7 linked regions of the Callithrix jacchus genome follow. The protein of the gene in region 2 binds, or shares a complex with, the protein of the main gene of each other region. Links are inferred from orthologs where the notes say so. Each region holds a gene or a part of one and is shown on either strand. Other genes may lie near its edges.

Region 1 (4,781 bases), on a different chromosome or scaffold from region 2:
GGACACATGGTGTGGCCACAGGTGGGGGGACAGTGAGCCCATAGTCTCCAGGGAGTGACTGGAAGGAACAAGATTGGAACAGGACAAAGAAGGGCACAGAAGCACACGACTCATACTTCAAAGGTGTTTTTATGCCAAGACAAGGGGGCTGGGACCTCATCTTGAGGTGGGAAGAAGTCATTTCCCTGCCAGTCCAGTGGTTTGAACATCAGCCCAGCCCAGGGAGAGGTGGGTAGGGTGGGCATCCTGCAGAGGCTAGAGACAAGAGGACAGCACGGAGCACCATCACAGTCAAGGGAGCCTGGCAGGGCTTGGCAGAGGGGCAAAAGTTACCAGCAAGCTAGGCGGCAACTGGAGTCCTCACAGGAACCTTCCTGTGTAGATCCACAGGTTTGCCTGACTCTGAAATGCCAAACAGGCCCACTTCTAGGTCTGCTCTCCCGAAAACACGTCTTTGGTGCTGGGCTGATCCTGACTCCTGAGAACGCAAGTTTCTGCTCCTGGATACAGTCACATGACCCAGAAGGATCCAGGCGCAGCCACTAGGCCAAGGCTGCAGTTCACTCCATCCACACCCCAGTTCTCCCCAAGGGTCTCACTTCATCCGCAGGACTGGAGAGCAGGCAGAGAAAACTCACAGCAGAGTAGCCCACGCTGGTCTGCCCATGCCTAGCAACCGTGGCCAGAAGGAACCGTCATCTCCAGGCTGAGAGGCCTCAGTCGGAGGAGATGGCACTCACTCAGGGTTCACAGTCCCTTCCTGTGTCAGCTCCAGGCACCTTGGATCACAGACATGGCCTCACCCAGACAAGGACACAGCCATAGGGCCTTAAGATGTCAGCGTCCCAAGAGCTGGGAGAAAGGCTGCAGGCCTCAAGTGGCTACGTCTGGGATTCAACAGCTGCTGCGCTTGGACCTGGCTCCTCCAGACATGCTGTGGCCCCAACTCTGCTGGTGTCTCTAGCACCTGGGGGAGGAGGGAGGGGCTGGCCCTTGGTTTCCCCAAAAGAGAGTCCCTTCCACAGCCAACATGAGCTCATCAGGTCACAGGCTGCCACAGCCTCCTGCCCCACAGGAAGAAGATTCCAAACCCACAATTGTAATTTCAAAGGAGTATTTTGTAGGTAAGTTCTCTGGAGCCCAAGACGCCAGGCACCCAGAGACACCAGCTCCCACTGGTTCACGTCCTTGCCCTCGACAAGAAGTAGGAGAGGATGAAGAAGACCACAATCAGACCCATGGCCATGCCACACAGAAGCTTCCGGTTGTCCCGTCCAGACCTTGCCATTGCGGAAAAGCGCTTCACACTCCCTGTAAGCAGGCCGGTCATGCTTGTGAAATCCGAGTCCTAAAGGGGGAATCCCAGCAAGATCACACAGAAGTGGTGATTTCACCACCCACCCGCACCAGTGCTGAAGGAGACACTGCAGGCTCTACAGCAGGTAGTGTTGGGGCAGGCCCTTACCATGCCATCCAGGTACCGGTTCTGATCCTCTGCGTCCCTGTCGATGTCCAGGGCAAGCTGTTCAGCACAGAGAGGGCAGGGTTGGGCCAGAGCAGACACATAATGCAGCACTCACCCTCCCCAGACCAGACAAGCCCTGCCAACAACTCTGCCAGAGTGCTGCAGCAGCAGAGAGGTCCAGGTGGGGCCTCATGCAGGTGAGCACAGCCACAAAGCACATGAGGATAGAAAACTGCCTGAAACTCCTCTGGGCCGTCTGCCTTTCCTCTGACCCCCACCCCCCAAGGGCACATGGTAGAGGTAAGAGGACAGGAGACCACCACTGACCGATTTGAGCCTGGTGACTTTGGAGGCCAGGCTGTCGGTCATTCGCTTGTTCTCCCGGTCTAGTATCTCTTCCACAGCACCAGGACTCTGACCTGAGAAGAGAGAGAGGCTGAGGGGTTGCATCCACCGGTGAGCACGGCCCCTGACCCGTCGCTCCAACCACATCTGGGTGAGTTGGAAATCCAGGGGGACTGGGCCCTGTGTCTGCTGGGCAGGTGGCAGACACAAGGCCCTAACCAGGTTCCAGCAGGTGGATCTTGCACATGTGAGGCAGGCTGCATAAAGAACGATGTGTGTAAGTAAGCGCATGTCATGTGAACACACGCCCTGTGTACACATCCAGGTGGGGATGGGCAAGCACCCACAACAGGCTCGGTGCAACCAGCAGTTTCCCACACTGTGTAGCAGAAACTGCACCCAGCCCTGGGATGCTGGTAAGATGTGACACTTGCATCCATGGAGGTCCCATCTGTGTAAAAGTGTAGGAAAGGCTTGGGGAAAGTACCCAGCAGAGCAGTAGGAAGGCTCCTACAGGGGCGACTTCAGAGCTGGCTCCTGAAGAGGTGGCAAGGAACCAGGACAGAATGTTGAGAAGGCGCTTTACCGCACAAAAAAAGGTCTGAGCCAAGCTCCCAATTCCCCACCATGGGAGCTGAGGTCGACCAAGAGAGGGATCCTTGGTCTGCATCCCACAGAGGGCTTCCCGCAACACCCAGAGCATAGTGCTTGCAGCGGCCTGGCCTGTGATGTGATAGGCTGGGCCAGGTGATAAGGAATTTCTGTCACATCAGGTAGGTGAGAACCACCTGCTGCCTAGCTTCAATGTAAGCAACGGGTGCAACACAGACAGGCAAACATCAATATCCCACTTTGCAGACAAGAACACGGGCTCCGGGAGGGGGACTGGGGCCATCGAGGCCCAAGTTAGCAGACGCCTGCTTGGACACCAACGGTGCACGCGTGGCCTGTACTCCTAGGGCCTGGCCCCGGGACCTGCCGAATGCGGAGGCTCCCGCACCCCGAACCCACGCAGAACGATCTCACAGGGAATGGCGGAGAGTTGGGGGACCCCGCAGCTGCGCGACCCCTCGCTGGAGCGGCTAGGCCGCCCCCTCGGACCCGGAAGGATCCGAATCTGCCCCCGTGACAGGGTCCTCTCCGCCGAGGACAGTTTAGAGGCAGGCGTACGCGGCTCTGCAGGTAACAGCGTCGGCTCCGGCCGGGCCCGGCCCCGCCCCCAACGACTCCGCTCTCTGGCGCTCACCCCTAGCCCAGTCCGCCATGGTGCCTTCCCCGGCTCTTCAACGCCGACACCGACGCGGCAACCGCCGCCTCGGACGTGGCGCAGTCAAGGGGCAGGACTTCCGGCCCCGCCTCCGCAGCGACCACGCCCCTATATGCCCCTGCCCCTTCCGCCTTGAACTCGCTGACTTCCGGCTGAGGGCTACGAGTTGGGAACCGCCGGTCGCAGGAGCGCGGCACGGATGTGCCTTTCATTTTCCGCACCGTCCCAGGCTGGCGTGCAGTGACGCGATCTCGGCTCACTGCACCCTCCGCCTGCCGGGCCAAGCAGCCCTCCCGCCTCGGCCTCCCAAGGTGCTGGGATTACTGGTGTGCGCCACCGCGGATGTGACGTTTGTTGTTCCTGTGAGCGTAGGGCGGGGCGGGGCTGTTGGCTCGGTGCCAGGACTACGGTGTGGGATAGACGCTTCCGTGGGTTAGGTCCTAACGGCGGGGAAGGATTCACAGGCGCGTCATGAGGAGGGAGCAGGCCCCCCCGAGCAGGAGCCCTGTTCCCGGCCACTTCCTGTCGTCCGGTGTCAGCAAAAGCAGCGTTTCCTCGCTGCCCGTTTTGAAGCACAGCCTCGTGTCCTTTGGTGTTTGCTTGTGTGCCTTCCCCTCGGGAACAAAAGCTCCGCGAAAGCATGGACCTAGGAGTCCCGTTCGCCTGCGTTCCCCAGCAAACGCCTAACGAACCCGATGGCCCAGGACTGAAAAGTCCCCCACTTCGGCTCCCCCTCCACACCCCATCCGTTCTGTGGAGATCCAGGGGCGGCGCTGTGTGTGTGGCAGGGCGAGGTGGGGGCTGAGATCCTTTCCCGTTGGAAATTCCTGCCCAAGAAGCGCGGGTCACAAGGAGAGGGGTCAGTTCGGTCGAGGGCGACTCGGGTCTGGAAACCTTCGAACCGCCGCTTCGGCTCCAGGCCGCGCCCCCTGAAGGCGCCGCCCGACGCCGCACCCCGTCCCGGCCTCCCATGCGCGCTGGCGCGGAGCTCTCTGGGCCAGGGCGGGGCCGGCGAATTGCGGCCCGGAACGGCTGGGGCGGGTCCCGGGGGCGCCATGGAGCCCCGGGCGGTTGCAGCAGCCGTGGAGACGGGGAAGGAGGATGTGATTATGGAAGCTCTGCGGTCGTACAACCAGGAGGTGAGCCGCCGCCGGAGGCCGGAGTCGGGCACGCGTGGCAGGGACGGGTAGGAGAGCGAGGCAGGGGCTGTATCCGGAGGCCGGGGTCGGGCACGCGTGGCAGGGACGGGTGGGAGAGCGAGGCAGGGGCTGTATCCGGAGGCCGGGGGGGGGGGCACGCGTGGCAGGGACGGGTAGGAGAGCGAGGCAGGGGCTGTATCCGGAGGCCGGGGGGGGGGGGCACGCGTGGCAGGGACGGGTAGGAGAGCGAGGCAGGGGCTGTATCCGGAGGCCGGGGTCGGGCACGCGTGGCAGGGACGGGTGGGAGAGCGAGGCAGGGGCTGTATCCGGAGGCCGGGGGGGGGGGCACGCGTGGCAGGGACGGGTAGGAGAGCGAGGCAGGGGCTGTATCCGGAGGCCGGGGGGGGGGGGCACGCGTGGCAGGGACGGGTAGGAGAGCGAGGCAGGGGCTGTATCCGGAGGCCGGGGGGGGGGGGCACGCGTGGCAGGGACGGGTAGGAGAGCGAGGCAGGGGCTGTATCCGGAGGCCGAGGGGCGGGCACGCGTGGCAGGGACGGGTGGGAGA
Region 2 (4,712 bases):
CACCTGATTTAAATTGCATCTGTACTCTTCTCCAGCATACTCAGTCCCTCTTCCTCTGCTCTTTTTTCCATAATGCTTATTATGTCTAAATAATTCACTTATGTATTATGGTGATTGTTTCTCTACACCAGAATGGAAGTTCCATGATGAAAGGGATCATTGGTTCACTGCTGTATCCTAAACAGTTCCAAAAGGGTCTGGCACTTGCTGAATGCCAACCTTGCTGCTTATACCACAACTGTGCTCATAAGCCTAGAGATGAACATGCCGCCCAGGCAAAACAGGTGCAACAAGCCCACATGGGCCCTTGACCTCTCATGCCAATCAGCACCACAGGTTACCCCAGAAGCACTGGCTATAGGTCATCTGCTCTGCCTTGCCCCTTCTCCTGAGGCCTTAAATATGTTCGTTCCTTGGAGTTTCGTTTCCAGAGATACATCTACTCTCCTGGATCCGGCTGCACCCTTCCAAGATGCCCAAGTTGCTCCATCTTCAATCTGGGGTCCTCACTTCCAACCCTGGGCCTAACTTCCAACCCTGACCTCCTAGAATCCTAAAGTACTTTTCACTGGGGACCCAGAGAGGGCCAGTCACATCACCCCAAAGGCCAGGTACAGTGGCTCACACCTGTAATCGTAGCATTTTGGGAAGCCACAGCAGGTAGGTCACTTGAGGTCAGGAGTTCAAGACAAGCCTGGCCAACATGGTGAAACGTCATTTCTACCAAAAATATAAAAAAATTAGCCAGGTGTGGTAGTGCACACCTGCAATCCCAGCTACTTGGGAGGCTAAGGCAGGAGAACAGCTTGAATCCAGATGGTAGACGTTGCAGTGAGCCGAGATCCTGCCACTGTACTCCAGCCTGGGTGACAGAGCAAGACTCCATCTCAAAAAAATAATAATTAAAAATATAAGATATCACACCAGGGAAGTTCCTCTTCAGTGTCGCCCCAGGGAAGTTCCTCTTCCTGCCTTCTTGAATTCTGCCTGTGGGACTAAGGACTCCCTGTCACATAGGCAGGAAAGCTGCCAGTCATTTATGACTTCTCTCTTTCCCTGGGCAGCACCATTATCACCAAGTCCTACGTGAGTAATGTCTTTGTCCTTATTGAACCTGAACTCCTCATCTTGACTCCTAGAAAATATGTGTCCCAGCCAGGCATGGTGGCTCACACCTATAATTCCAGCACTTTAGAGGCTGAGACAGGAGTGTCCCCTGAGGTCAGGAGTTCAAGACCAGCCTGGTCAACATGGTGAAACCCCATCTCTACTAAAAACACAAAAATTAGCCAGGCATGGTGATGTCTGCCTGTAATCCCAGCTATTCAGGAGGCTGAGGCAAAAAAAGTAAAAGAAACATGTGTCCCTACAGCCAAACCTAGGTCTTGTCTGGGGTCATAGCAACTTCTTATTGAATGAAAGAAAATAAAGCAGGGTATTATAATCGGACTAAGCATCAGGAGACCTGGTTTCCTGACTTTGAGCAAGTTCTTTCTCTGAGTTCAGTTTCCCCATTTGGAAAATCATTCCGCTGGACTCCACCATCTCTGCAGGCCCTTCCTTCATACATCTGTCATCCAGTACTTCATGAAACATTTGCTGAAATGTCCTCATTTCTGAGAAAAAAAAACCCACCTGGGTTTTTCTTATTCTTGTGTTGACGGAGTTATAGTTCTCATCAGCTTCCTCCTTCTGGGGCTCTATGGCTGTGGGAAGACACATGGAGTACTGGGGGTACTTGTTTCCATGGATTTTTAGGGAAATATAATTTATCATAAAATGACTAAGGCTGAGCCTCCAAGAGGAGAAAGTACGTTTATTTTTCTTTGCATTACATCACTGAGTTCCCATAGGTATGCAGAGGCCACCTAACAAAACCCCATCCTCTTGCCCAAAGAATGCCCAGTGGGCTGCAATAACTGTGTAAGTAAATGGTTACATTGTAAATAAAAGAACCTGAGAGGCCGGCTTGTCCTGTGGAGAGTACAATGGCCTGGAGGCCAGGAGACAGAGATGCTAGACCCAGGCCTGCTGTGTGACCTGGTTATATCATCGGCTTCTCTGGGCCACACACTCCCCAGATACACCAACAACAGGGCAGGATCAAAGGGAAGGATCTGTCTGAGGTCCCAGGAGCTCACCCTTCAGCTGCAGGCGGATCTCCCTCCCCAGCTGTTTGATCTCATCGCGCAGGTTCTGCAAGTCCTGCTTCATGCCTGAATAAGAGAAGACCACGACTCCGAACAGCAGCTCCCACCTCAACAAACCACCCTGGCAATCACCTATGTGGGACTACAACCCCCACAATCCCTAAGGTGGTGCATGCGCCCTGCAGTCGGAGTTTCACTCACTCTCCTCGGGAAGGGGCGTGGCCAAGATGGTGACCTGCTGTTTCTCCAACTCCTGGACTTTATTCCCCAGTTTGACAATAGTCTGCCGAATTGCCCGGACCTGGGGAGGGTGACCGAGAGGGCTGAAAGAGATATGGGGTACTCCAGACCACGCTGGTCCTCGGGTCTTCCTACCCCCTCGCGAATCCAGGCAGAGACCCCAGCCCCTTACCTTCTGGAAGAACTCCTCGTCCGGGCTCCCCAGCCGTGCCATGCCCGGGTGCACCACCAGCGCGACCCGCTCCTTGTCCTCTTCGTCCGAGCTGTCATCCCCCTGCGAGGCCCGGAGTCATTGGTACCACTGTTTCGCTGCGGCTCTCACCCCGCACGACCCACAGGCTTCCGGGACTTTCCTTCCTGGCCATCAGCCATCCCTCCCCGCCCTGAAGATCAGGAGTCCTGCGTTCCAGTTCGTCCGCCCCTCAACATCTCCACTGCCCCCATGTCTCACCTGCCTCAGCTCGTGGGTCCTGTCCCGCATGGCGGCCTGAGCTCTCCCTCCTCGGCGCCTGAGCCAGGAGGCCCTCAAGTTTGGAATTCCCGTACCCCACTCACACTCTGACACTCCCCTCCCTCCCGGTGCGGACCTCAACACCCCCACAAGCCGCCAGACGCTCTGTCCCTTGCACCACCCACAGTCAATGGGAAGGAGCCGACCCCGGGGACCACTAAGGTTCCACAGGTTGGAATTCCCTTTTCTTCCCCTCTCTTGCTCTCTCAGCCTCAGCCCCGCCCCTCCGTGATAAATTCGGGGCATGCGCACAAGGTCGCGTCTCTTCCTCGCCGGAGGGGGAAGGCGGAGTCGGAAGTTGTTGCGCCCCGAGCGGAAACGGAGCTGCCTGGACGCGAGAACCCGCCCCCCTCACCGGAACCGTTGCAACTTCCAACGGAAATCTGGTTGCCAAAAGGCGTAGGAGTACGTCATTTGTACGTAAGCCGAGACACCCGCATCTCATATCACCCCATGATGCCCCCACTGCATCACGTGACCAGCCCGTTCCCAAACTCGCGGACCGCAGAACGTGACGCTGTGACTGTCACGTGTCCCGGCTCTGTCACCGCGGTCTCTGGGACGCCGTTCTCATCACGAAGTCCCCGGCACCCCAGCGACCGAACGACGCCCACACAGCCCCCGCGAGGTGGGGAGGGGCGCGCCGACCACCCCCAGAGGCCTTTTGAGGCAGTGGGTGGGTGTACCCTTGATGACTTCGCCTTTATTGCTTTCGGGTCCAGGAACGTGGGCAGACCACTTAGCATTTGGGGCTGTCAGCATCATGGGACCTCGAAAATCGGGAAATAATATCCGAGCCGTCAGCGTCAGAAAATTGCAGGGTTGTGTGAGCAGGGAATCTGGGGGTGGGAGGTGACCTCACCCAAGGCAGAAATCTCCCGCATCCTCCTGGCGCAGCCTCTGGTAGGTGGGCGGCCGGCGCCCTCCTTGAACATGGCAGCCCGGCTGCACTCACCACCTCTGAGCAGTCAGACCATGTCAGGGCAGCTCAGGCTAAGAAAAGTGTCTGTATTGTTGAGCACGCTGCCTCCCTACCACTCACACCCCCCAGCCCCTACCTTACATCTGAGATCAGGTCATGACTTCGTTCTTAACTGAATCTGGGGAGTTCCTAGCTCACTACCAAGCACATAATGGGCCCTCTGTAAATAACTGTGCACAAAATTTTAGCCTTTCATGTATCTCAGGATAAAGCCCCCAGTTTCCTGGTCTTCTTTGGGTTTCAGACTTTCTGACTGTAACACTTCCCTAACCCTGGCTATCTAGATATTCACTCGTTTTTTATTTTTAAAAATTTTCATGAGGTGAGGTCTCATTATGTTGCCCAAGCTGGTCTCGAACTCTCGGGCTCAAGCAATCCTGCCTCAGCCTCCCAAAGTGCTGGGATTACAGGCAACATTAATTCGCTTAATGGATATTTATTGGGCACATACTATGGACCAAACACTGTTCTAGACTTGGAGACATATCAGGGACTAATAGACAAAAATTCCTGCACTCGTCAAACTTACATTCTCTAGGAGGAGTCCCCAAGGTCACTCAGCAAGTCTCAGCATAGCCAGGAATGAATAATGGACTCCTGGAACCCAGGGCTCTCCAGGAAGCTTCTGTGAAGGTACAAGTAGGGGAAGGAATGGACCCTTTCTGCTATGACCTGGTCAGGAAGCCTAGATTCCTGGGACTGAGTTGCTATGGACTTCTGGAAATCGCTTCCTGTCTCTAAGCCTTGATCTCCCTCTGTACAGTGGGTAACTAGGGGGATGGAGAGATCATTATAGGTATCCCCTGCTCTAAACTTCAGTGATGATGAG
Region 3 (4,517 bases), on a different chromosome or scaffold from region 2:
CTAATATAATATGCTGCCTCTTAAAGAATAGATACTGAATGCAATATAATTTTAATAATGTGAAATGTGAATCTTTGCAGAGGGAAGATAAAGCAAGGGGAATGATTAAGATCACCAGGAAGAGTGTGAAGAATAAGAAGAGAAGATGGCGTAGGATAGAACCCTATGGAATGTGAACATTTCAAAAGAAAATGAAGAGCTGCCACAGAGGTAAGAGGAGAAGCGGGAGTGTATAGCATCTTGCATAGAGCTAAGAGAATAAAGGAGTTCAAAAAGGAGGAAATAAGGGCCAGGCGCAGTGGTTCATGCGTGTTATCCCAGCACTTTGGGAGGCTGAGGTGGACTGATCATGAGGTCAGAAGTTGGAGACCAGGAGACCAGGAGACCAGCCTGGCCAATATGGTGAAACCCCGTCTGTACTAAAAATATAAAGAATTAGCTGGGCGTGGTGACAGGCGCCTGTATTCCCAGCTACTCGGGAGGCTGACGCAGGAGAATTGCCTGAACCCAGAAGGGTTGCGGTGAGCCGAGATCGCGCCATTGCACTCCAGCCTGGGTAACAAGAGCGAAACTCCGTCTCAAAAATAAAAGAAGAGCTTGACTCTGATTCGGCAACAGGGAATAGGGATGGAAGAGGGATGGGTTTAGATCAAAGGAGAGTAGTAGTTATCATTATTATTGCTAAAGAATGGGAGAAAGGATTGGTGAGGGGTACAAGAAAATAAGAACATTTCATGGCAAAAATAGAGGCACTTCCTGTCAGCTGAATTCTATTTTGTCGGTGAAGAAACAGGCAATGTTGCCTACTGAAACTAAGCAGGAGAGACGGGGCAAGCGTGGCTCTTCATTTATGCCGCCTACTCACTGCTGGTAGAATCTTTTCTTTCTTTCTTTCTTTCTTTTTTAAGACGGAGTTTCTCTCTTGTTACCCAGGCTAGAGTGCAATGGCGCGATCTCGGATCACCGCAACCACCGCCTCTTGGGTTCAGGCAATTCTCCTGCCTCAGCCTTCTGAGTAGCTGGGATTACCGGCACGAGCCACCGTGCCCAGCTAATTTTTTGTATTTTTAGTACAGACGGGGTTTCACCATGTTGACCAGGATGGTCTCGATCTCTTGACCTCGTGATCCACCCGCCTCGGCCTCCCAAAGTGCTGGGATTACAGGTAGAATCTTTAGCCTGCATTCTCTCATTTGCGTGGATCCCTATACGGCGTTTGACGTTGTTTACGGCCAGAGCTGTCCCCGGAACGTGGCCAGTCGGAACTACTACTCCCGGAATGCACTACGGCTCCTGGGAAGTGCGGGGGGGGCGGGGCTGGGAACTTAGCAGGCCTAGCCCTGTTGCCTGCTGCCATTGGAGGAGCGCTCCCATTCCCAAGAGGCCACGCGTAGGCGGGGCGCTTCACGCGGAAGTTAGCGGCGTCGGGTCCCAGCCTCCTCTGGGAGCGGGCAGTTGGCGACCCTGCGCTGACCCGCGCCCCTAGGTCCCGAGCCCGCGCGCCCTCAGAAGGTGCCCGGACAGGTAAATGGAGTGGGGCGCGCTCTGTGGGAGGCGGAAACACAACTGCGGAGGGAGAGGGAAGGTGTCGACGGAAAGGTGCTGGGGTGGAGCGGGTAGGCAGTGTAAGGGTGACTTGGGCTTCTCTGGTGTACACAGTACCGGTTGTCGGGCAGGTCCGGTTTCGGCGAGGTGCGTCTTTTGCCGCTGGAAAGGCCTCGAGTTAAAAAGAGTGTCAGAATGCGTCACTTAAGCTGTCATTACAGGAGGGAAAAAATGTTAATTTTCTCTCAGTTTGCATTCTACAAGACTTTTCTGTACCATTTAAATCGCTTGAGATCGACCGAGTCTTCTAAAAACTCTCTGCGTCCTTATTCGATGACGTCACTTTCCGCTTCACCTACTTCTGGCTGTTTATGCTCCTTCGTGGGTTCCTGGCCCCTTATTCACCCTTCCTCCACTGCTCATTATTGACAGTCCACTTCTTCCTCTGTTTGGCTAGGAACTGTATCTCCGCCTAGACCTGTTTCCTCATCTTCAGACCTGTTTGGTGTTTTTATTAACCGCCAATGTTTATCAAATTCTGACCACGTGCTAGCGTCTTTGGTAAACGCTTTACATCTCCCACTCCCATAACTCTCACAATCAGCTGTCTTCATTCGGCCTCATTTATTGCTTTCAACTACCTGTATCTCCATTCTCCCTCCCTTGATCCCAGAGATACAGCCATGTTAGGGATATTAATTACCTTTGAATACTTGTGGCTGAGAGCAGATCCATTCGTATGTTTAACAAATATTTATTGAGTGGCTGATCTGTGCTTGACACTCTTTTTTTTTTTTTTTTGAGACGGAGTTTCGCTCTTGTTACCCAGGCTGGAGTGCAATGGCGTGATCTCGGCTCACCGCAACCTCCACCTCCTGGGTTCAGGAAATTCTCCTGCCTCAGCCTCCTGAGTAGCTGGGATTACAGGCACACGCCACCATGCCCAGCTAATTTTTTGTATTTTTAGTAGAGACGGGGTTTCACCATGTTGACCAGGATGGTCTCGATCTCTTGACCTCGTGATCCACCCGCCTCGGCCTCCCAAAGTGCTGGGATTTTACAGGCATGAGCCACCACGCCTGGCCGACTCTCTTTTTAAGTGCAGGGGATACAGCTGTAAACAAGACTTAGGTTGCTACACTCAGGAACTTACATGTTTGTGTCTAGAGGGGAAAACAGAAATAGGATTATGTTATATATTGCCTAATGTGAAATAAAACAGGTGGTTGACTTGAAAGGGTGGGATCCTATCCTAAGAAAGTCAGAGAGATTGGATTGGGTCTCAGAGCATCATCCAGAAAGAATAGTTGTAATACTAACAGGAATAATCTTGATCTATAACCTGACTTCATAAACACCTCTCCTTTTCCCCTTTCTAAGCAGTGTTTATTCTTCATTTTTTCTATCTCCTCCAAGCTTATTGCATCCGAATTCTTGGTTTATCTGTAGTTACTTTATTCTTTCTAACTCCCAGATGGAAGAGTTGGGGATTGGATTACTGTTAGCTCAACTGCTTTATCTTACTTCAAAAGGTGATTTGGTTGTGAAAATATTATTCTTACTAGGTCTTTCTGAATATAAAGTTATCTATCATTTATAGTGTATTTAAAACCAAAGTATGCTCAATGTTCACTTACTTATTCAACAAATACTTGAGGGCATGCGCGGTGGCTCAACCCTGTAATCCCAGCACTTTGGGAGGCCGAGGCGGGTGGATCACAAGGTCAAGAGATCGAGACCATCCTGGTCAACATGGTGAAACCCCGTCTCTACTAAAAATACAAAAAATTAGCTGGGTGTAATCCCAGCTACTCGGGAGGCTGAGGCAGGAGAATTGCCTGAACCCAGGAAGCGGAGGTTGCGGTGAGCCGAGATCGCACCATTGCACTCCAGCCTGGATAAGAGCAAAACTCCGTCTCAGAAAAGAAAAAAAATACTTGAGGGAAGGTTAACTGCTAGGCACCGTGCTGAGCACTGGGAAAGTAGGGTAAAATAGACACTTTGGCCTCTCTTCCACGGAGAAATAATCCTAACAGTATAGTGAGGAAATTCCTAAGGCATAAGCTGATACCTACATTCCTGTTATTCACCCAAGGTGAGATCATCACAAAGCATTAAGAAATTTCCTGAGTGGTTGTGGACAGTCTTAGATTATTCACTTATTACACTTTATCACATTTATTTATATCTGTCTTCCTCATTGTACCATGGCTCCCTCAAGTATAGGAGTCCCTTCTTCATCAACTTTATACCTCCAGTGTCTACTTTGACTAGCATATAGCAAGCCCTCAGTACATATGTGTTGAACTGAAATAGAAAAACTCCATATCTGATCAAATTTAAATGACATGATTTATACAAGACCTTCTCTATGTAAGGCCATCAGCTGTATTCCTCAATCTTGTCATTCACCAAAGGTGGACCATTCCATCTCATCAGGCTAGTTTATGTACCTTCTTTACCTTGTTCTCACCTCTATGCCTTCTCTTGTTTCATCCGTTCCTCCTAAAATGATCTCCCATCTCTTCCCGAGCACCTTGTCTACCGCCTTACTTTAGTGGGCCAGTTAATTTAATGGTCTGCTCATGATACAAGAATGGAGGCCGGGCACGGTGGCTCACGCCTGTAATCCCAGCACTTTGGGAGGCCGAGGTGGGTGGATCACGAGGTCAAGAGATCGAGACCATCCTGGTCAACATGGTGAAACCCCGTCTCTACTAAAAAAAAACAAAAAATTAGCTGGGCATGGTGGCGCGTGCCTGTAATCCCAGCTACTCAGAAGGCTGAGGCAGGAGAATTGCCTGAACCCAGGAGGCGGAGGTTGCGGTGAGCCGAGATCGCGCCATTGCACTCCAGCCTGGTTAACAAGAGCGAGACTCCGTCTCAAAAAAAAAAAAAAAAATGTAATTGAAAATGCGGTCACAGTGGAGTAGAGTGGACCCTTGATCCAGTATGACTGGGGTCCATATAAA
Region 4 (4,008 bases), on a different chromosome or scaffold from region 2:
GGTGAGGTTCTCCCTTAAAACATAGTGAGGCATCATCAGAACAGCCATTGAATAAAATACGTTAAGCGAAAAGGGAAAGCCTGTGAAGTGTATCCATTTAGGTAAGAAACAGGGAGATAAACAGTATTTCATTTGCTTAAGTTACAGAAGCTTGGAGGATCACAAGATATTTTTTAAAAGACACTGGTAACAGTGGTTGCCTCTGGGAAGTGGACCAGAGTGCTGGCAAGTGGGATCAGCTTTTTTGTGTGCCTCTTGTACTGTCCAGAGCTGTGCTGGCCAATATGGCAGCCCCTAGACATGCGGGGCTCTTGTGTATATAAAACATGACAAATGCAAATGGATATGTCAGTGAGTGTCAAATCCACACAACGTTTCTTTTTTTGGAACAGAGTCTCACTCTGTCACCCAGGGTGGAGTGCAGTGGTGTGATCTTGGCTCATTGCAATCTCCACCTCCTGGGTTCAAACGATTCTCCTGCCTCAGCCTCCTGAGTAAGGATTACAGGCACGTGCCATCATGCCTGGCTAATTTTTTTTTTTTTTTTTTTTTTTTTGTATTTTTAGTACAGACAGGGTTTCACCATGTTGGCCAGGCTGGTCTCAAACTCCTGACCTCAAGTGAGCCACCCACCTTGGCCTCCCAAAGTGCTGGGATTACAGGCGTGAGCCACCTTGCCTGGCCAAAATCCACACAATGTTTCAAAGACTTAATATGGAAAAAAAGGAAGGTAAAATATCTCAATAATTTTTAATATTAGTTGTACATTGAAACTGTAATAGTTTACATAATGAGCTAAATAAACTATCTTATTAAAATTAATGTTTTATGTTTCTTTTTACTTTTTAAAATGTGCCTACTAGAAAATTTAAAGTTAACATATGTGGCTCCTGTTATGTTTCTACTGGCAGTGCTGGGCTAGAGTTTTTTATCCTTCTCTATGTTGTATGTGTTACCTTTTAACAAATTAAAAGCTAATAAGTAAATAAGATAAATTATCAGAGGAAACACAGCAGCATTTTGAAAATGACAGATAAAAGGAGAAAAGCAAACACTCACAGAACGGGAATCCCTCTCCACTCTTTCTCCACGCCTGCCTGCTGCCATTTCAAAACCCTAAGAACTTGCTAAGTAAAAACCTAACAGGTCTTTCTTTATAAACTTTACCATTATGGAGAATTTTGAACCATCACAAAGCAGACAGCATAGTATCATGAAATGTCATATGTCTACCACCCATAACCAAGAACCACCAACCTCTGAAATCCTGTTCCCCCTTACCCCATCTCCCCTACTCCTACAACTGTGCAGCAAATTCCAGATACCATATTCCTAATAAGATTTTTGTTTCACAATTATGGTCCTAGTAGGCTTTTAAATCAAGCTGAATTTATGAGGGATAAGGAGGGGGTTGAGAACTGTATTCTTCCCTTTTTTTCAATAGCTATTACTTCTATAAAATGGGCCCCAAGAACACTGGGACCCTCTCAACACCCCAGAAACCACCAGCATTTGTGTCTCCTTCCCACTGTTAGTGAGGGGGTATCCTCTCACCACACCAGAGCATAAATGCCCTGGACTCAGAGGCTGAGTTGTCTCTTTGCTCCCTCTCTCTCCAACGCCTCTCCCACAGGACACGCTGAGAGAAGGCCCCTGGCTGGTTCTAAGCTGAAATGTTCAGGTAAGTTGTAAACACAAAGAGTGACCATGGGATCACCTGCTTGCTTTCCTTTTGCTTCTGCCTGTTTGCTGCACTGAAAAAAAGTGGTTCAAAATTAAAGATAATTTCTAGAGGTGATAATGGTATTGTGGTTCTGGGGTTGTTTCTGCTTTTTCCCCAGAGCCCCTCATCCTCTACAGAGATGTACTGAGATATTTATGGACAATGTCTGGAATTTGCTTCAAAATAATTCAGATAGGAGATGGGCTGAGGGTAGAATTGAAACGAGTCTGGCTGGGGTAATGGGCTCAGGGCTCAGATGATTCAGGATACCATGCTTTCTACTTTTGTCCATGTGTGCAATGTTCCAAAAGCATTTCAAAGAGTAAACCCTCTTTTTCTGTTGTCTCATACTGAAGGACCCTGGAGAGGGCTGATACTCTTCTGTGTCACAGAGGAGCCACTCTGGGAAAACTACTGGAGGGAACCAGATGGTCTCAAGCAATCTCTCCTGCAGCCTTTGACTCTCATCTTTTAAAAAGAACTCATAGGAAAAATAACATTGGGGAGTATAATTGTAAACTAAGGTCCTAGCAGTCTTACCATCAGCCAATTCACTAAACATCCCGTGGAGCAACGATTCCCAAATTTGCCTGGCCATATGGGTACCCAGAGCCCTGGCTGTAAATGAGACTCCCAGGCCCCTCACCCACCTCTGCCAACACCTTCTCTAGGAAAGGGCCTGGGGACCTCTGCTTTACACTTGAGACCCTGGGAATGCCCGCCCTGGGGAAACACTGATGGGGGTGTGGGGTCTCCTAGTAAAGGGAAATAAGAGCAGCATATCCCCACTATGGATAAGACCAAGGTGTCAAGTCATCTCACGAGGAAGAAGCCCCCCAAGTCAGTGAACTTCGTGTGGGCCGTGGTGGAGGAGCCCAGGGTGGAGATGCCAGGGCTAGGGCGCTAGAGCAGTGTCTCTGGGAGACGCTTCCTACTCTGGGCCCAGCTTTACCTAGAGACTGCATGGCCTCCTCGCTCTGCTGGACCTGCTGGGCCATCATCCTGCTGATCCCCATGAGGCTCTCAGTGATGGCACTGGATGTCTGGGCCAGGCTCTCTTTGGTAGTTTTCCTGAAAGTTCAGAGGAAGAGAAAGAGGAAGAATGTCAACAAAAGTCTCCCTGCAAGAAGGCCCCATATCCAAATGATATCTCACTTTTTGCCTACCCAATCAGCATATATATTTTAAGTGATCACATTCAATGCTGGCAAGGATATGCTGAGACCCACACTCCTATGGACTGCTAGTAGAAACAGAAACCGGTGCTACCTTCTGTAAAGCAATTTGACAATGTAGGAGCCTTAGAAATGTTCATTCCTTTGACTCAATCATCTCATCCCTGAACATCCCTCTAATGGAAACATCCAAAATGCAGATGAAGCCTTATGTTCTAAGACATGCTCTGCTGTATTACTTACAACACCAAAACACTAGGAATGCAAACACACATAGGGGATAGTATTAGCATACAATCTACATACTATGTACTGTTAGAATTAGGCTTTAAAAGTTTTCTTTTTTTTTAAATGAGCAAGTTTTGTGCTGAAACAGCAGGATATAAAATTATATGTATGGTACAATTGTGACTTAAGAAATGTAGAAGAAAAAAATGAGAGAAGAGAATATACCAAAATGCTCATGAGTAATAAGATTCCATATTTTCAGCCAGGTACTGGGGCTCATGCCTATAATCCCAGCACTCTGGGAGGCCAAGGCGGGAGGATTACCTGAAGTCAGGAGTTCAAGACCAGCCTGGCCAACATGGTGAAACCCCATCTCTAATAAAACTACAAAAAATTAGCCGGGTGCAGTGGCACAACCCTATAATCCCAGCTATTAGGGAGGCTGAGGCAGGAGAATCACTTGAACCTAGGAGGTGGAGGTTAGGTTGCAGTGAGCCAAGATGAGCCACTACACTCCACTACACTACACTACTGGGCTACAGAGAGAGACTGTCTCGAGGAAAAAAAAAAAAAAAGATTCGATATTTGCATTTTGTAATTTATACTTTATTTTATCAATTTACTACAAATAAGTATGCATTTCTTTCAAACTTTAAAAAATTACTTATATAATAAAATTAAACACCAAGCTGAAAACAAGAAGGGATTCCCTACAATGGATTTTACACCTTGCCAATTGTTACCTATTTTATTATGAGAGCCCAGAAAAACAAAAGAACAGGTACCTTTGCCTTAAAAGATCTCCTCCCTGAAGAAGTTCTGCTTTCTCTAGATTGTCGATTGCAATTTTGCAGGTAAGATTAGCTTTCCTCCATGAAGTCT
Region 5 (4,670 bases), on a different chromosome or scaffold from region 2:
CCTTCTTCAGGGCGTCTACTGGGCTGTCTGAAGGGGCTGGCAGGCAGTGTCCGTGGGTTGCAGTGCCACCCTTCCAAGCCTCTACTGGCCTCCTGTGGCTTGGACAGAGTCTTGAGGATACACAGGATCCAGAATCCACGGGGTCTGGAGCATAAGGTAAGTGATCCCTCCTACCCCCAACTCATGGTCTTGTGGAAGCCCAGCCTCCTTGTGCCCCCCATTCATGTTTGTCTCAGCATGCCTGGCTCCTTAAGGCCTCTCATCTTCTGCAGGTTTATCTCAAGTCTCAATTGAACTGCCTCCTCCTGTCAGACAGGGACAACTGGGAGGTGAGCAGTTGGGTCAGGAATGTGGGAGCCAAGGGCATAGATGTGAGGACCTCCCTATGGAGAGGAAAAGGAGGCAGCTGGAATGCAGACCTGGGACCCTCTCTTTACCTCTCTGGTCACTTAATTTCTCTGAGAGGCATTAACAGTTAAAATCCTGAGAGGGTTATTGCCAAGAATATGGATGGGGCTGCTTTCTGGGAGTGGGGAATAAAGGTGGTGGTACCCAGAAGTTTTTTACTTCTTTTTGTGGAGGCGGGGTCTCCTTATGTTACCCAGTCTGGTCGCTAAGTCCTGGGCTCAAACAATCCTGCTTTGGCCTCCGAAAGTGCTGAGATTACAGGCGGGAGCCACTGTGCCCGGCCCCCCTGACTGTGAAGCTTCTTCCCACTCACCAGGATGAGCCCCAAGAACCTCAAGAACCCAACAACGTGCCCCTAGAAGACACAGAGACAGATGAACTTTGGGCATCCTTGGAGGCAGCTGCCAAGCGGAAGCTCTCAGATTTGGAGCAGACCCAAGGAGCTCTCCAAACCAGGCGGAGAAAGAAGAAGCGGCCTGGGTCCACCAGCCCCTGACACCCCTCTGTGCCCAGTTTGTAAATAAACAGCTAAACACCCTCCATGACCCTGAGCCTTTTGTGATGGGAGAAAGGAATGAGGGGTAGCTTGAGGTGGGGGCTCCCTGAGCTGGGGTGACGGGATACCTAATGTCACAAAGCCGGGCCTGGAGCCAGGCAGGCTGGTGTGGGTGGCACGGAGTCTGGGGCCGCGCGGGGCCATGGGCTGCTGCCAAGACAAGGACTTTCAGATGTCTGATGAGCAGGAAGAAGAGTCCGAGGACCTCGGGGAAGGTGAGGCCACAGATAAAAGAAGAGGGCCCAGGGAGCGGGAGAGGGGGCTTCCTGAGGGTAGGGCTGAGCTCAGAGGCCTCATCGTCCCCTCAGGCGCCGAAAATATCCACGTGAACGCCCCAGACCACCGGAATCACAAGTCGAACGAAAGCCTTCTGATCACTGTGCTGTGGCGGCGGCTATCCTTGTTCAGTCGTCGGGGCTCCTCGCGGGCAAGCAAGAGGCAATCAGACGTGGTTCGGAAGAAGGAGACTCCGATCCGAGAAGGCAACCAGGAGGAGCCGGAGAAGGGATGACTCCAGACCCGCTCTTAGTCCACCCGTACCTCCAGAGAATAAAATTTCTGACGTGAACCTGCAAGACCGTTCTGGGGACGGGGCGCGGACACCTCCGGGCGGCTGGCTCTTTAAGGCTCCTCCCCGGAGGCGGGCCCAGCCCCCTGGGCTCCGGCTGTTGTCTTCAGGGGCGGGGTCATGGTGGTATCTTAGCCAATGGGATGGTGGGGTTGCTCTTGCGTTTGGTGAGGGGCGTGTCTCTCGGATAGCCGGGCTCGAAAACGTGTGGGACCGCCCCGTCGTCACCGGGGGTGGGGCTACGTGTGGGTGACGTGGCCGCTTCCAGTCTTTGGTCGGGTTTCGGCGGCTTCGGTTCCCAGGGAGGAGGCGGTGACGGCCGGGGAGATTGGCAGTGGTGGCGGCGGCAGGCGGCAGAGGGGAGGTAAGATTCGCTTTCAGAGGGTGTCTGGACACCGTGTCAGCTCCGGGGTAGTGGTTTTACGGGGGCGACGACTGGCGGGGGGAAGGGAACCAGGGGCGAGCGGGCAAGTCCTGCCGGCCCGGCTCCCGGTGAGCGAATTCCTTGCCGTCCAATTAGGAAAGCCTCTGTTGAGAGAGACGTCGGCCTTAGCTAATGAGTGATTGAAGTCTTCCAGAAGGCGGACCTTGGGCGGGGGGTGGGACTTCCTGTTTCAAATAAACACCCAGAGGTTTGCCCCTCCGCCCACCGAAGTGTGTCCCTCTCTGGAGGTCCGTCACCCGCTCTCCCTGGCCGAAGGAAACCGCAGATACAAAAGGGCTGGGTAGGGGCAGTTACACAGGCCAGGCCAGAGTCTCAGGACCACAGGACTTGGCTCGGGCCCTCTCCCTGCTTCAGGGTCCTCGGCCCGCGTTTTGGCCGTCAGAGCCAAGTTGAAAGAAGAGTCTGAAGAGGGTTCGACTTGGGCCAGGGGAAAATCGGGGCCCTTTCCGCTGCGGGCCTGCTCCAGGATCTGCGAGCGCCTTGGGCGCGAAAGTCTTTAAAAAGTGCAGAAGGGGCTCGAGGATTTGTTGATTGGGACGGGGCTGGGGAGTTTGGGTAAAGAAGCTGCCTGGGGAAATGACACTCTCCCCTCCACAACAGTCCGAGGTTATGCGTCTCAATGATCCCGCGGAAACGCTACGGGTCTAAGAACACGGATCAGGGTGTCTACCTGGGTCTCTCAAAGACACAGGTCCTGTCCCCTGCAACTGCTGGCAGTAGCAGCAACGACATCGCCCCTCTGCCCCCCCCAGTGGCCCTCGTCCCTCCCCCTCCCGACACCATGTCCTGCCGGGATCGGACCCAGGAGTTTCTGTCTGCCTGCAAGTCGCTGCAGAGCCGTCAGGTAAGGACCTGCAGTGGAAAAGGTGAGGAGTGACTCTTACTCAAATCTAGGAAGGACTGTGCTCCAGCACTGTTAACTGAAGTAATTCTTGGGGAAACCTGATGGAACTGATAGGCTTGGATGGGGCTAGTAAGGTCTGCTATAAGTAACAGAGAAGAGGTCGGCTGGCTAATTAGAGGCAAGGACTTAGACATTTTTTAATGAGGAATCCCCTGGAGTGCAGGATTGCTATTCTGGAGAGAGTACTTCAGGGCCAGACTTGGCTGCAATATAATTGGTGTGAATAAGGAACAAGTTGTAGGAAGAGCCTTTAGCTGAGAGACATCCACCTTGAATTTTCCAGTATACTTCTGCCATAAGTTTGCTCTGTGACCATGAGAAAATTAGTTAATCTAGTTATGTCTTTCTTAGTTTTTAATCTCTGTAAGACGAAGGACATTTTTCTATATCAGTAATTTGTTGTTTTGTTTCTGTTTTGTTTTGAGATCTAATTTCAGCTCTATCAACAGGCTGGAGTGTAGTGGTGTGATCATAGCTCACTGCAGATTTGAACTCCTGTACTCAAAGGATCCTCTTACCTCTCGGCCTCCTGAGCAGCTGGGGCTACATGGATGTACCACACAGCTAATTTTTTTATTTTTTTGATATAGCCAGTGTCTCACGATGTTGCCCAGGTTGGTCTGGGCACCACACCTGGCCTAGATCAGTAATTTGTATCAAAATCAATGGGTTGGTTACGGTGGCTCATACCTGTAATTCCAGCACTTTGGGAGGCCTAGGCTAGGCCAGAGGATTGCTTGAGGCTAGGAGTTAGAGACCAGCCTGGGCAATATAGCAAGACCCTGTCTCTACAAAAAGTTAAAAATTAGCTAGGTGTGGTGGTGTATCCTGTAGTCCCAGCTACTTGGGAGGCTGAGCGGGAGGATCGCTTGAGGCAAGGATGTCACGGCCACAGTGAGCTATGATCATATATTCCAGCCTGGGAGACAGAGTGAGACCCTGTCTCAAAAACAGAACAGTTAAAAAAAAGTTTTTTTTTAACTATTCATCTGTTGGTAAAGCTGCTCTTCTATGTGATCTCCAAGGGCTTTGCAGTCATCCTCACTGACTTCCCGATTTGAGGAATAGAATGGCAATACAAGCTACCATTTATTTAGTGCTTACAATGTACCAGGTAGTTGATGAAAGTACTTTTCAGCTTTTTTGTTATTTAATCTTAGCAACAAGAAGCGGAGAGGTGTGGATTGTCTTCATTTTACAGAAGGGGAAATAAGAGATTCAGAATGTTTTAAGTAACTCGTTCCCAAAACCCCTAGCTAGTAAGTAGCGAGTCAAGATTTGAACTCCGGTTTACTTGTCTTCAAATCTGGAGTCTAAACCACTACCACTGATAAATCTAGATCATTGGATGGATGCCACCAGTACTAGAGATAGTTTAGTGGACACCTGAGGAAGAGTGAAAACTGGAACTGGGGAAGGGGGATCTAAAGTTGTCACCTCCTGCCATTGCTTTTCAGAATGGAATCCAGACAAATAAGCCAGCTTTGCGTGCTGTCCGACAGCGCAGTGAATTCACCCTCATGGCCAAGTGAGTTGAGAGAAGCTTTCTGGTGGGGTGATACAATGTCTGAAGAAAAGTAGGCTTGCCTTCAGTGGCCTTGGCTGTGAAGTCTGGGATTGGTTGTGCTGGAGCTTATATGGGAAAAGGCCTTCTCCTGCCCTTTCCCAGTCTCACTAGTGGTCGTTTGCAGGCGCATTGGGAAAGACCTTAGCAACACATTTGCCAAGCTGGAGAAGCTGACAATCTGTGAGTGTTCTTGGGGTCTTTCAGAAGTGGGGCAGTAGTACA
Region 6 (3,352 bases), on a different chromosome or scaffold from region 2:
AGCTGTGGAAAACGACTGAGCGCAATAAATCCGTGCCAAACTTCCCTGCACATCTGCAGAGACACAAGTGAAGCCCATGTGCGCACAGTGCAGAGGCCGAGCCTGGGTGTGTTTTCCAGTAGACGTGGACTTTACTGACTGTAAATTCATTTCCATGTAACTTCTGACATTTCACTCTGTGCAAATAAAGAACCCGAGGATACTGTGCTGCAGTGGACTGTCTGTATACACGCATTTCACCAGGCGCAGGGCACGCTCTCATGCCCATGTGGGCACTGGGATGCCTTCTTTCCAGATGTGGTCCAGGTGTCTCACGCCTTCCATTACAAACAGGTGCTCCTGTCTATACTTCCTGGAAGGTCAGATACACAGGCACAAGAGAAGCAGGCCCATTCTTCCATGGCCCACTTCCTCCTTTGCACAAAGTCTCCTTGGACCCACTGAGGAGAAAGTGGTGCTCCCACACCCCTGGCTGCTTTGGGGGCAGCAGTCTTTGGAGGAGTCACGCCAGGCAGCCCCTCACGGAGGGCCCCAGAGCCTCCCCTGCATTTCTTCCCTGAAAGGAGGTGGGTGGGCCTCCACGGAAATTTCTCAACTTACACTGACAACACATTGAGGGGCTGTAATTGTATTTATTAGATTAACAAGGCAGATGTGAATTTTCTGCAATCCAGTGAGTCTGTGTATTGGATGACTCAGACAGACAAGAAGCCACAGGAAACAAAGAAGCAATCATTTGTTGGGAGACGTTAGTAACTGTCTTCTTCCCTGAAGCTACCAGGATGGGAAAGGTCATGACTTCCTTTGAACCTTGAGACAACTGGGGGCTCTTGAGGGCTGCTGTGCCCCTGCTACTGGTGCAGCACCCCCTGCCAAGGCAGCCTCAAGTTCAGGAGAATCACCAGCTCCCGCATTCAGTCTGTCTTGCCTTAAAATGGCTACAAGACCCCTTCCCACTGTTGCACATGTTTTTCTTTCTCAGCTGCTAAATGGGCTGAACAACATCAGCCTGGGTATCCCTTTTTGGGGAAGATGTCTGCCTGTCTGAACCCCTCTCCCTTCACATGGCTCTGGGATAAAGTCTGGTCATACCATGCTCTGGCACCGGAGGTACGGTCTGTGGGTGCCCGTGCGGCTCTCATGTTGGGCCCCCGCGGCCCAGGCTAGCTGTCATACCAGTCGAGGAAGAGCAAGGAGAAGGAGCACATCACGAGGAAGAAGAGGATCCACACGCGGAAGCCAGCGTTGTTTTTAATGGCCTGGGCAGGGACAGGAGCACAGGTGTTTTATCACACCGGATTTTGGTTTCAGCAGCCCTGAAATGCCCCACTCTTCCCACGTGCTCTTCCGATCCTGGCTGTAACTATGGGTGTTGCTCGATCTGTGCTTACCCTGAAGAGATGGCTTAATTACTAAGCAAAATTAAAAAGTGGGCCTGTCTTCTCCCAGAAGACAAATGGGTTATATTCCCTTCTCTGTGGCCATCATCTGGGTCCTGCACGATTCTCTCAGCACAACTCTTGGAATCACTCCCTTCTGTCCCGGGGTTAAAAGCCCTGAGCAGAGAGTGACTGTCAGCTTTGTGTTTCCCAGTAATGCGATGTCCTTGGTGACCCAACCCTAAGGATTGAGCTCAGGAAACAGTAGTGTCCCCCTTAGTGGGGGCCAACAAGCCTGTCCACCAGTGTGCATCCCTGTATGTGGGGAGCTGGCCTGACCTTGCCAGGAGTAACCCAACCCACCCTGGATTACTCCTTTGGAGGCTGGTGAGCCATTGCCTCTGGACAGCAGCCGGAGGTGGGCAATGGGTGGTGGGCTGGTGGGTCTCATGAACACACGCAGCTTGGCTGGAACTGATCATGACCTCACGGCCACACAATTTTGTGATCAGCCCTGTGAGCTCTGCCCAGCAAGACTCCTGGGCAGCGGTGCCAGCAAGACGAACACCACTGCTGGGACTCAGTGCTGCACCACCTCGGACCTGGGGACTCAAACGGTGCCTACCTCTCTTATGTCTTCATTGCCCTCCTTGATATTTTCAGTTGCCCCCACAACTAACTGGTGAATGCTATCGATCTCAGCTTCCTGTGGAAGAAAAGGTAAACACAAGCTGAGCATCCTTTATCCAAAACCTGAAATCCAAAGGGCTCCAACCAGCACTTCCTCTGAGTGTCATGTCGGCACTCAAAAAGTTTCAGATTTTGGAGCACTTAGGATTTCACATTTTGGATTTTCAGTTTAGGGATGCTTGACCAATATAGCCACCTCCTCCTCCCCGAAGCGTAAATCATGACAAGAACAGGAGCTGTCACCAAGGGCAAGGGGCTTTGCTTGCATAGCCATGAATCCCACAGCATCCAAGAAGTGGGTATTACCCCTATTTTATGAAAGGGAAACCCATGGCTCAGAGTATTACTAAGTTGCCCAAAGTCACACAGCAACCAAGTGGCAGGACTGAGACTTCCTATTTTTGAGACAGGGCTTAAACAATCCTCCCACTTCAGCCTCCCAAGTAGCCGGGAGTATAGGCATGTGCCACCATGCCTGGCTAAACTTTTAAAAGTTTTGTTGCAATGAGGGTTCTCCCTATGTTGCCCAGGCTGGTCTCAAACTCTTGAGCTCAAGCCATGCTCCCGCCTCAGCCTCCCAAAGTGCTGGGATTACAGGCGTGAGCCACCGCGCAGGACTGAGGCCCCAGCTCGTTGCAGTGCTCCTTCCACCGCACCTGCCAGCCCTCCTGTGCCACTTGCCGACCACGAGGACAAAAACCTAAGAGCTACTGTTTGTGGAGCACCCACCATATGCCAGGGGCTTCCCTTCCAGTCTCTTATTTCTTTCTGAAGTCCACAGAAGTAAGCTTTAAAATGTATGTGCTTCAAAATACATACACTAGCTTCAAAAAGTGCTTTGTGTTTTACTATTATATCTCAAAAAAAAAAAAACAGGCTAAAATTTAAACATCGAAATAGGATGCAGGATGCCTACCGAAAAACATTTACTCCAAATAAAGCCTTGAAAAGCTTGAGAAGCGTGGGATCCTGGTCTAGCACAGGGGCGTCTGGCCCCGCAGGGGCAGAGACGGTTCTAGACGTCCTAACAGGCAGGAGTGCCTGCTGCTCTCCTCCTTTTGGTGGTGGCCAAGCTGCTTCTAACAGGGTCGGGGCTGAATGCACGCTAGTGTGGGCTGTTAGAGAAACCTGATTGACACACGGTAGGGAGGAAGCAGCCTGTGGCCTCGGATTCCCAGCGATGAATATTACTGGGATGGCTCTGCATCATCGCTCTTTGGAGAATCTCGAGGTATGAGCTAAGTGACCGATGACAAGGTTCTGATGAGAGAATCAATATGAAC
Region 7 (4,008 bases), on a different chromosome or scaffold from region 2:
AACGGTGAGAGTGAAAAAATTTTGTTTCTTCTACGTGGTCTTCCTCTTTTCCAGAAGTAATGCTATGAACTGATCACAGATTAACTTCCTGTCTGTTGATCTTGATTTTGACTGTTTTTTACTAAATGAAGCCAACTGATGGGGATGGGTATTAAGGAGGTTTGACAAACACAAATGGGTAAAACCTGAAGACTCTCCTGAAATATGAGTCTTTGATAATATATTGCTGATGTGAGTAGTAAGGGCATTCTCATACCCTTACCCAAGCAGTCTCTTAAAATCTCTTTTTAAGAGCTGGCCATTAAGATAGGTTACTGGCCAGTGTGGTGGCTCACACCTATAATACCAACACTTTGAGATGCCAGGGCAGGAGGATCACTTGAGGCCAGAAGTTCAAGACCAGCTTGGGCAACATAGGGAGACCCCCATCTCTTCCAAAAAAAAAAAATTACACAGGATTGGTGGTGCATGCCTCTGGACCCAGCTACTCAGGAGGCTGAGGTGGGAGGATCACTTTAGCCTGAAAGGTCATGATCACACCACTGCACTCCAGTGTGGGTGACAGAGCAAGACCCTGCTTCAAAAAAAAGAAAAAAACTGTTCTTTGTTAAACTTACTGACACAGAAAATGTAGCTCAGAGGTGATTCTAACCATGTCCCTTTCTGTCTTAAAAGACAGCATTGTAGCTGGACTTGGTACCTCAGGCAAGACATGCATGAGCTTCAGGTGGGACCTAAAGTTTGTCAGAAGTTGCTTCTCTTCACTTGTGGCTTTTCTTTAAAAAAAAAAGTTTGTTTTTCCTCCAGCTCTATGGAAGCAAGAGTCCTTTGACTCCATTTCATTATACTCTAGCAAACCCATTAAGACTGGGGCCAAAATCCTGGTCCCTGCTAGAACCCTGCAGAAATAGTTGCCCCTGCTTTTGCCATCCCAGAGCAGATGGAGAAAAAAATTCTGTTTTAGCCAGCGAACTGCCTTCTTGCCTGTTGAAGATCAACTTCTCAATTTCCCAGTTATCCCAGTGAAAAAGAAGCACATCTGCATCCTTTTCTCTGTTTTGCATGTGCTTTATGAAGGACCAGGCTACCAGACTGTGGAAACTATCTTCTTCCTAATGGGAGTACTAGGAATTTTTCTTAATACCTGTGTACAGCTGGGCATGTCCATGATACCTGTTTGTAGCCATTCTCCTGTTTTGATTAACATATTGGTAGCCTTTTAAAAATCTAGCTACTACTGATTTGTTTGGTGCTCAGATACTTGTTTTCTTCGAACTCAACAAAATAATCCTACCTTGACCATTCCAGGCAGATGAAAATAATTTAGGGCTGCTTGTGAACATCCCCAGGTGTTACATTTTACTTATCCTAGAAGAATGGAAGTCTGATTCCTCTAAAGCACCTGCTCTGAGGTGGGCCCCTGGTTGTCTCTGACATGGAGACAAACATGATTGATTTTCAGAAAGAGGAGCAGGAAAAGTTTTTAGTACAGTAGACTTCAAAGCACTTCTTGATGGCAGTGTTCAACCGTATATTGAAGAGAGCCAAGAATTTGAAGATTTTGAATCCTGACTCCTTTTTAATTTTATTTTTATAGAGATGAGGTCTTGCTGTGTTGCCCAGGCTATGCTCAAATGATCCTTCTGCCTAGGCCTCCCAAAGGGCTGAGATTAGAAGCAGGAGCCACTATGCCTGGTCCAGACTCCTCCTTTTTGTGTAATCTTTAGCAGGTTTCTGTAAATCATATATGAAATGGAACATTTGCTACCTTATTGATTTGTTATGAGGATTAAATGGAGGATATATAGAAACATGTTTAGTAAGCTCTAAAATACTTTTGTCTCTCCATTCATTCATTCAGTTCATATATTTTGAATGCTTGCTCTGTGCTTGCTGGGCACTGTGCTAGGCATTTGGATTGAGAAGAACATCCCAGAAATGGTCCTGCCTTATGTAGCATATGGTTGAATTATTTACTTGGTGTAGTCCAAATAAATAAGTAGTTTGATTAATCCAAACTAGGCATATTTCCAAATGAGTGAGGGAAGAACCAGGCCATCTACTCACTACTTTCTGCCTTCCCAGCTGGCAGAGATGGAGGAGGAGCTACGTTATGCACCCCTCTCTTTCCGTAACCCCATGATGTCTAAGCTTCGAAACTACCGGAAGGACCTTGCCAAAATCCATCGGGAGGTGAGAAGCACACCTTTGACAGCCACGCCTGGAGGCCGAGGAGATATGAAGTATGGCATATATGCTGTAGAAAATGAGCATATGGTAAGTTTTAGCTTCCTTTTTTTTCCTTAAGGGCCTGTGGTACAAAAATTAACCATATCGTTGGATTATTTCATGTTTTCAGTGTATACTAGAAAATATTTTTTTCACCCTTATCCTCTTTTCTGCATCCAGCTCCTGTTATTCCCTTGGTATATGCTCTATTTAATGTAGCCCTTTCTAATCATATGCATATTTAGATTTCCTTTTATCCTTAATATAATACAGTCTTATAATAAAAATAGTGCTTTGTATATAGTAGTATATAAGTGTTACTTATTTTTTCTGGATTCTGACCCATTGATCTAATTTCTTCTTGATCTTTTTTATTCTTTCATATAAATTTTAGAATCACTTTCTCAAGTATGCCTGGAAAATTCCATTAGGTTTCTAATTTATCAGAGTATTGTTTCAAAATCAATCCAAGCTTTCCTTTACCTTAATGTCAAGATGGCCCAGCAACTGAGATACTGTAGCCAATGCAGGGTGCTTCTCGTGGAGCTTTTTATCATTTTATTCTGTGGTAATGGAAAGTGAGCCAGACTGCTCTCTAGTTTTCAGGATTCTAATTTATAAGATTGGACTAATTGAACATCTGTATTCTGAAACCATCTAAGAAGCTAGTCGTTAAAGAAATTAAACGTCTGAAAGGTTAAATGTGCTGCATTTGGTCTATCTTCCATAAACACAACACAAAGTAAGACTTGCCTGGCAAGTAACACAGAAGAGAGATGGAAAGGGGCCCACCAGTGCAGTCTGAACAGAGGTAGAAAGGCTCATACTACAGTTTTAAACAACTCCTGTTTCATGATGCATCCTGATTATAGTTTAAGAGACATTGAAAATGATATTGGCTTGACATTGCTGATGCAAAACTAGACATTTTGAGGCTGATGTTTTTAAAATTTTCGCACAGATGTACGAGGGATCGTCACAGATTAGAAGCTGACAGATCACTTGAAAAGGGAGGCTGGAAAAGGGCAGGCGGGTGGAGTGTGGTTCTACTGGTTTTATTTGAACCTCATTTAGTGGTTTCCTCATCTACTGGTCTATATGCTATTTATCAAGTGAAAATGCTACAGAGCACCTGACATGGTGGCTCATGCCTGTGCCTGTAATCCCAGCACTTTGGGAGGCTGAGGCTGGCAGATCACCTGAGATCAGGAGTTCGAGACCAGCCTGGCCAACATGGGGAAACTCTGTCTCTACTAAAAATACAAAATTAGCCAGGTGTGTTGGCGGGTGCCTGTAATCCCAGCCACTCGGGAGGCTGAGGCAGAGGCTGCAGTGAGCTGAGATCACGCCACTGCACTCCAGTGAGACTTTGTCTCAAGAAAAAAGAAAATGCTACTTCTTGCTACTTCTGGTCTGAGAGCCAATCTTTTGGCTTCTTGATGATCCTACTGCCAGTGGTCACCTGCTCTGTAATAAGCCTCTGTGAGCTGGGTACCTTTTGATTGTGTGTGTGTGTGTGTGTGTGTGTGTGTGCTTTGAACAGCTAAGAACTTAGAGCTGCTGCCATTTCTGTCAGTGGTTATTAATTCTGGCCTGACAAAAGCTACTTTCATCTTCATGCTGTCTGCATTTAGGATTACAGGTTTTGGTGAGGATTTAGAAAATTAGGGTACTTGAGAAATTAGGGCAGCTGGGGAAGCTTGCTCAAGCCCCAGACACTAATTTCCCTGAGACCAGATCACCCCCAGTGTGGCAGCTCAGGGTTTTTTGTTTGACCTC

What was found.
Region 1: STX4 (region 2) and BET1L share a complex: the UniProt entries of both Homo sapiens proteins name them as parts of the SNARE complex. The link is inferred for Callithrix jacchus from reciprocal best matches to the Homo sapiens genes STX4 and BET1L.
Region 3: STX4 (region 2) and VAMP7 share a complex: the UniProt entries of both Homo sapiens proteins name them as parts of the SNARE complex. The link is inferred for Callithrix jacchus from reciprocal best matches to the Homo sapiens genes STX4 and VAMP7.
Region 4: STX4 (region 2) and BNIP1 share a complex: the UniProt entries of both Homo sapiens proteins name them as parts of the SNARE complex. The link is inferred for Callithrix jacchus from reciprocal best matches to the Homo sapiens genes STX4 and BNIP1.
Region 5: STX4 (region 2) and STX5 share a complex: the UniProt entries of both Homo sapiens proteins name them as parts of the SNARE complex. The link is inferred for Callithrix jacchus from reciprocal best matches to the Homo sapiens genes STX4 and STX5.
Region 6: STX4 (region 2) and STX18 share a complex: the UniProt entries of both Homo sapiens proteins name them as parts of the SNARE complex. The link is inferred for Callithrix jacchus from reciprocal best matches to the Homo sapiens genes STX4 and STX18.
Region 7: STX4 (region 2) and VTI1B share a complex: the UniProt entries of both Homo sapiens proteins name them as parts of the SNARE complex. The link is inferred for Callithrix jacchus from reciprocal best matches to the Homo sapiens genes STX4 and VTI1B.

Annotation. Positions count from the first base shown.
Region 1 is NC_133511.1:131,725,680-131,730,460, reverse strand, and holds the start of BET1L (BET1-like protein), read right to left. Parts: upstream 3,143-4,781; 5' UTR 3,076-3,142; coding exon 3,057-3,075; intron 1,885-3,056; coding exon 1,793-1,884; intron 1,523-1,792; coding exon 1,466-1,522; intron 1,349-1,465; coding exon 1,181-1,348; 3' UTR 1-1,180. Other genes in the region: RIC8A (chaperone Ric-8A), read left to right, coding at 4,133-4,216. UniProt on the Homo sapiens protein: Vesicle SNARE required for targeting and fusion of retrograde transport vesicles with the Golgi complex. Required for the integrity of the Golgi complex.
Region 2 is NC_133513.1:30,560,186-30,564,897, reverse strand, and holds the start of STX4 (syntaxin-4), read right to left. Parts: upstream 3,141-4,712; 5' UTR 2,872-3,140; coding exon 2,842-2,871; intron 2,665-2,841; coding exon 2,563-2,664; intron 2,474-2,562; coding exon of another isoform or gene 2,452-2,473; coding exon 2,352-2,451; intron 2,217-2,351; coding exon 2,142-2,216; intron 1,707-2,141; coding exon 1,636-1,706; intron 1-1,635. UniProt on the Homo sapiens protein: Plasma membrane t-SNARE that mediates docking of transport vesicles. Necessary for the translocation of SLC2A4 from intracellular vesicles to the plasma membrane.
Region 3 is NC_133524.1:151,451,101-151,455,617, forward strand, and holds the start of VAMP7 (vesicle-associated membrane protein 7), read left to right. Parts: upstream 1-1,401; 5' UTR 1,402-1,524; intron 1,525-4,517. UniProt on the Homo sapiens protein: Involved in the targeting and/or fusion of transport vesicles to their target membrane during transport of proteins from the early endosome to the lysosome. Required for heterotypic fusion of late endosomes with lysosomes and homotypic lysosomal fusion.
Region 4 is NC_133503.1:65,519,675-65,523,682, reverse strand, and holds part of BNIP1 (vesicle transport protein SEC20), read right to left. Parts: coding exon 3,912-4,008; intron 2,795-3,911; coding exon 2,676-2,794; intron 1-2,675. UniProt on the Homo sapiens protein: As part of a SNARE complex may be involved in endoplasmic reticulum membranes fusion and be required for the maintenance of endoplasmic reticulum organization. Also plays a role in apoptosis.
Region 5 is NC_133511.1:120,111,998-120,116,667, reverse strand, and holds the start of STX5 (syntaxin-5), read left to right. Parts: upstream 1-1,798; 5' UTR 1,799-1,896; intron 1,897-2,577; 5' UTR 2,578-2,596; coding exon 2,597-2,821; intron 2,822-4,338; coding exon 4,339-4,409; intron 4,410-4,572; coding exon 4,573-4,628; intron 4,629-4,670. Other genes in the region: WDR74 (WD repeat-containing protein 74), read left to right, coding at 11-156, 273-329, 725-904; TEX54 (testis-expressed protein 54), read left to right, coding at 1,107-1,475. UniProt on the Homo sapiens protein: Mediates endoplasmic reticulum to Golgi transport.
Region 6 is NC_133504.1:184,609,322-184,612,673, forward strand, and holds the end of STX18 (syntaxin-18), read right to left. Parts: intron 2,086-3,352; coding exon 2,005-2,085; intron 1,260-2,004; coding exon 1,164-1,259; 3' UTR 613-1,163; downstream 1-612. UniProt on the Homo sapiens protein: Syntaxin that may be involved in targeting and fusion of Golgi-derived retrograde transport vesicles with the ER.
Region 7 is NC_133509.1:102,656,955-102,660,962, reverse strand, and holds part of VTI1B (vesicle transport through interaction with t-SNAREs homolog 1B), read left to right. Parts: coding exon 1-4; intron 5-2,085; coding exon 2,086-2,277; intron 2,278-4,008. UniProt on the Homo sapiens protein: V-SNARE that mediates vesicle transport pathways through interactions with t-SNAREs on the target membrane. These interactions are proposed to mediate aspects of the specificity of vesicle trafficking and to promote fusion of the lipid bilayers.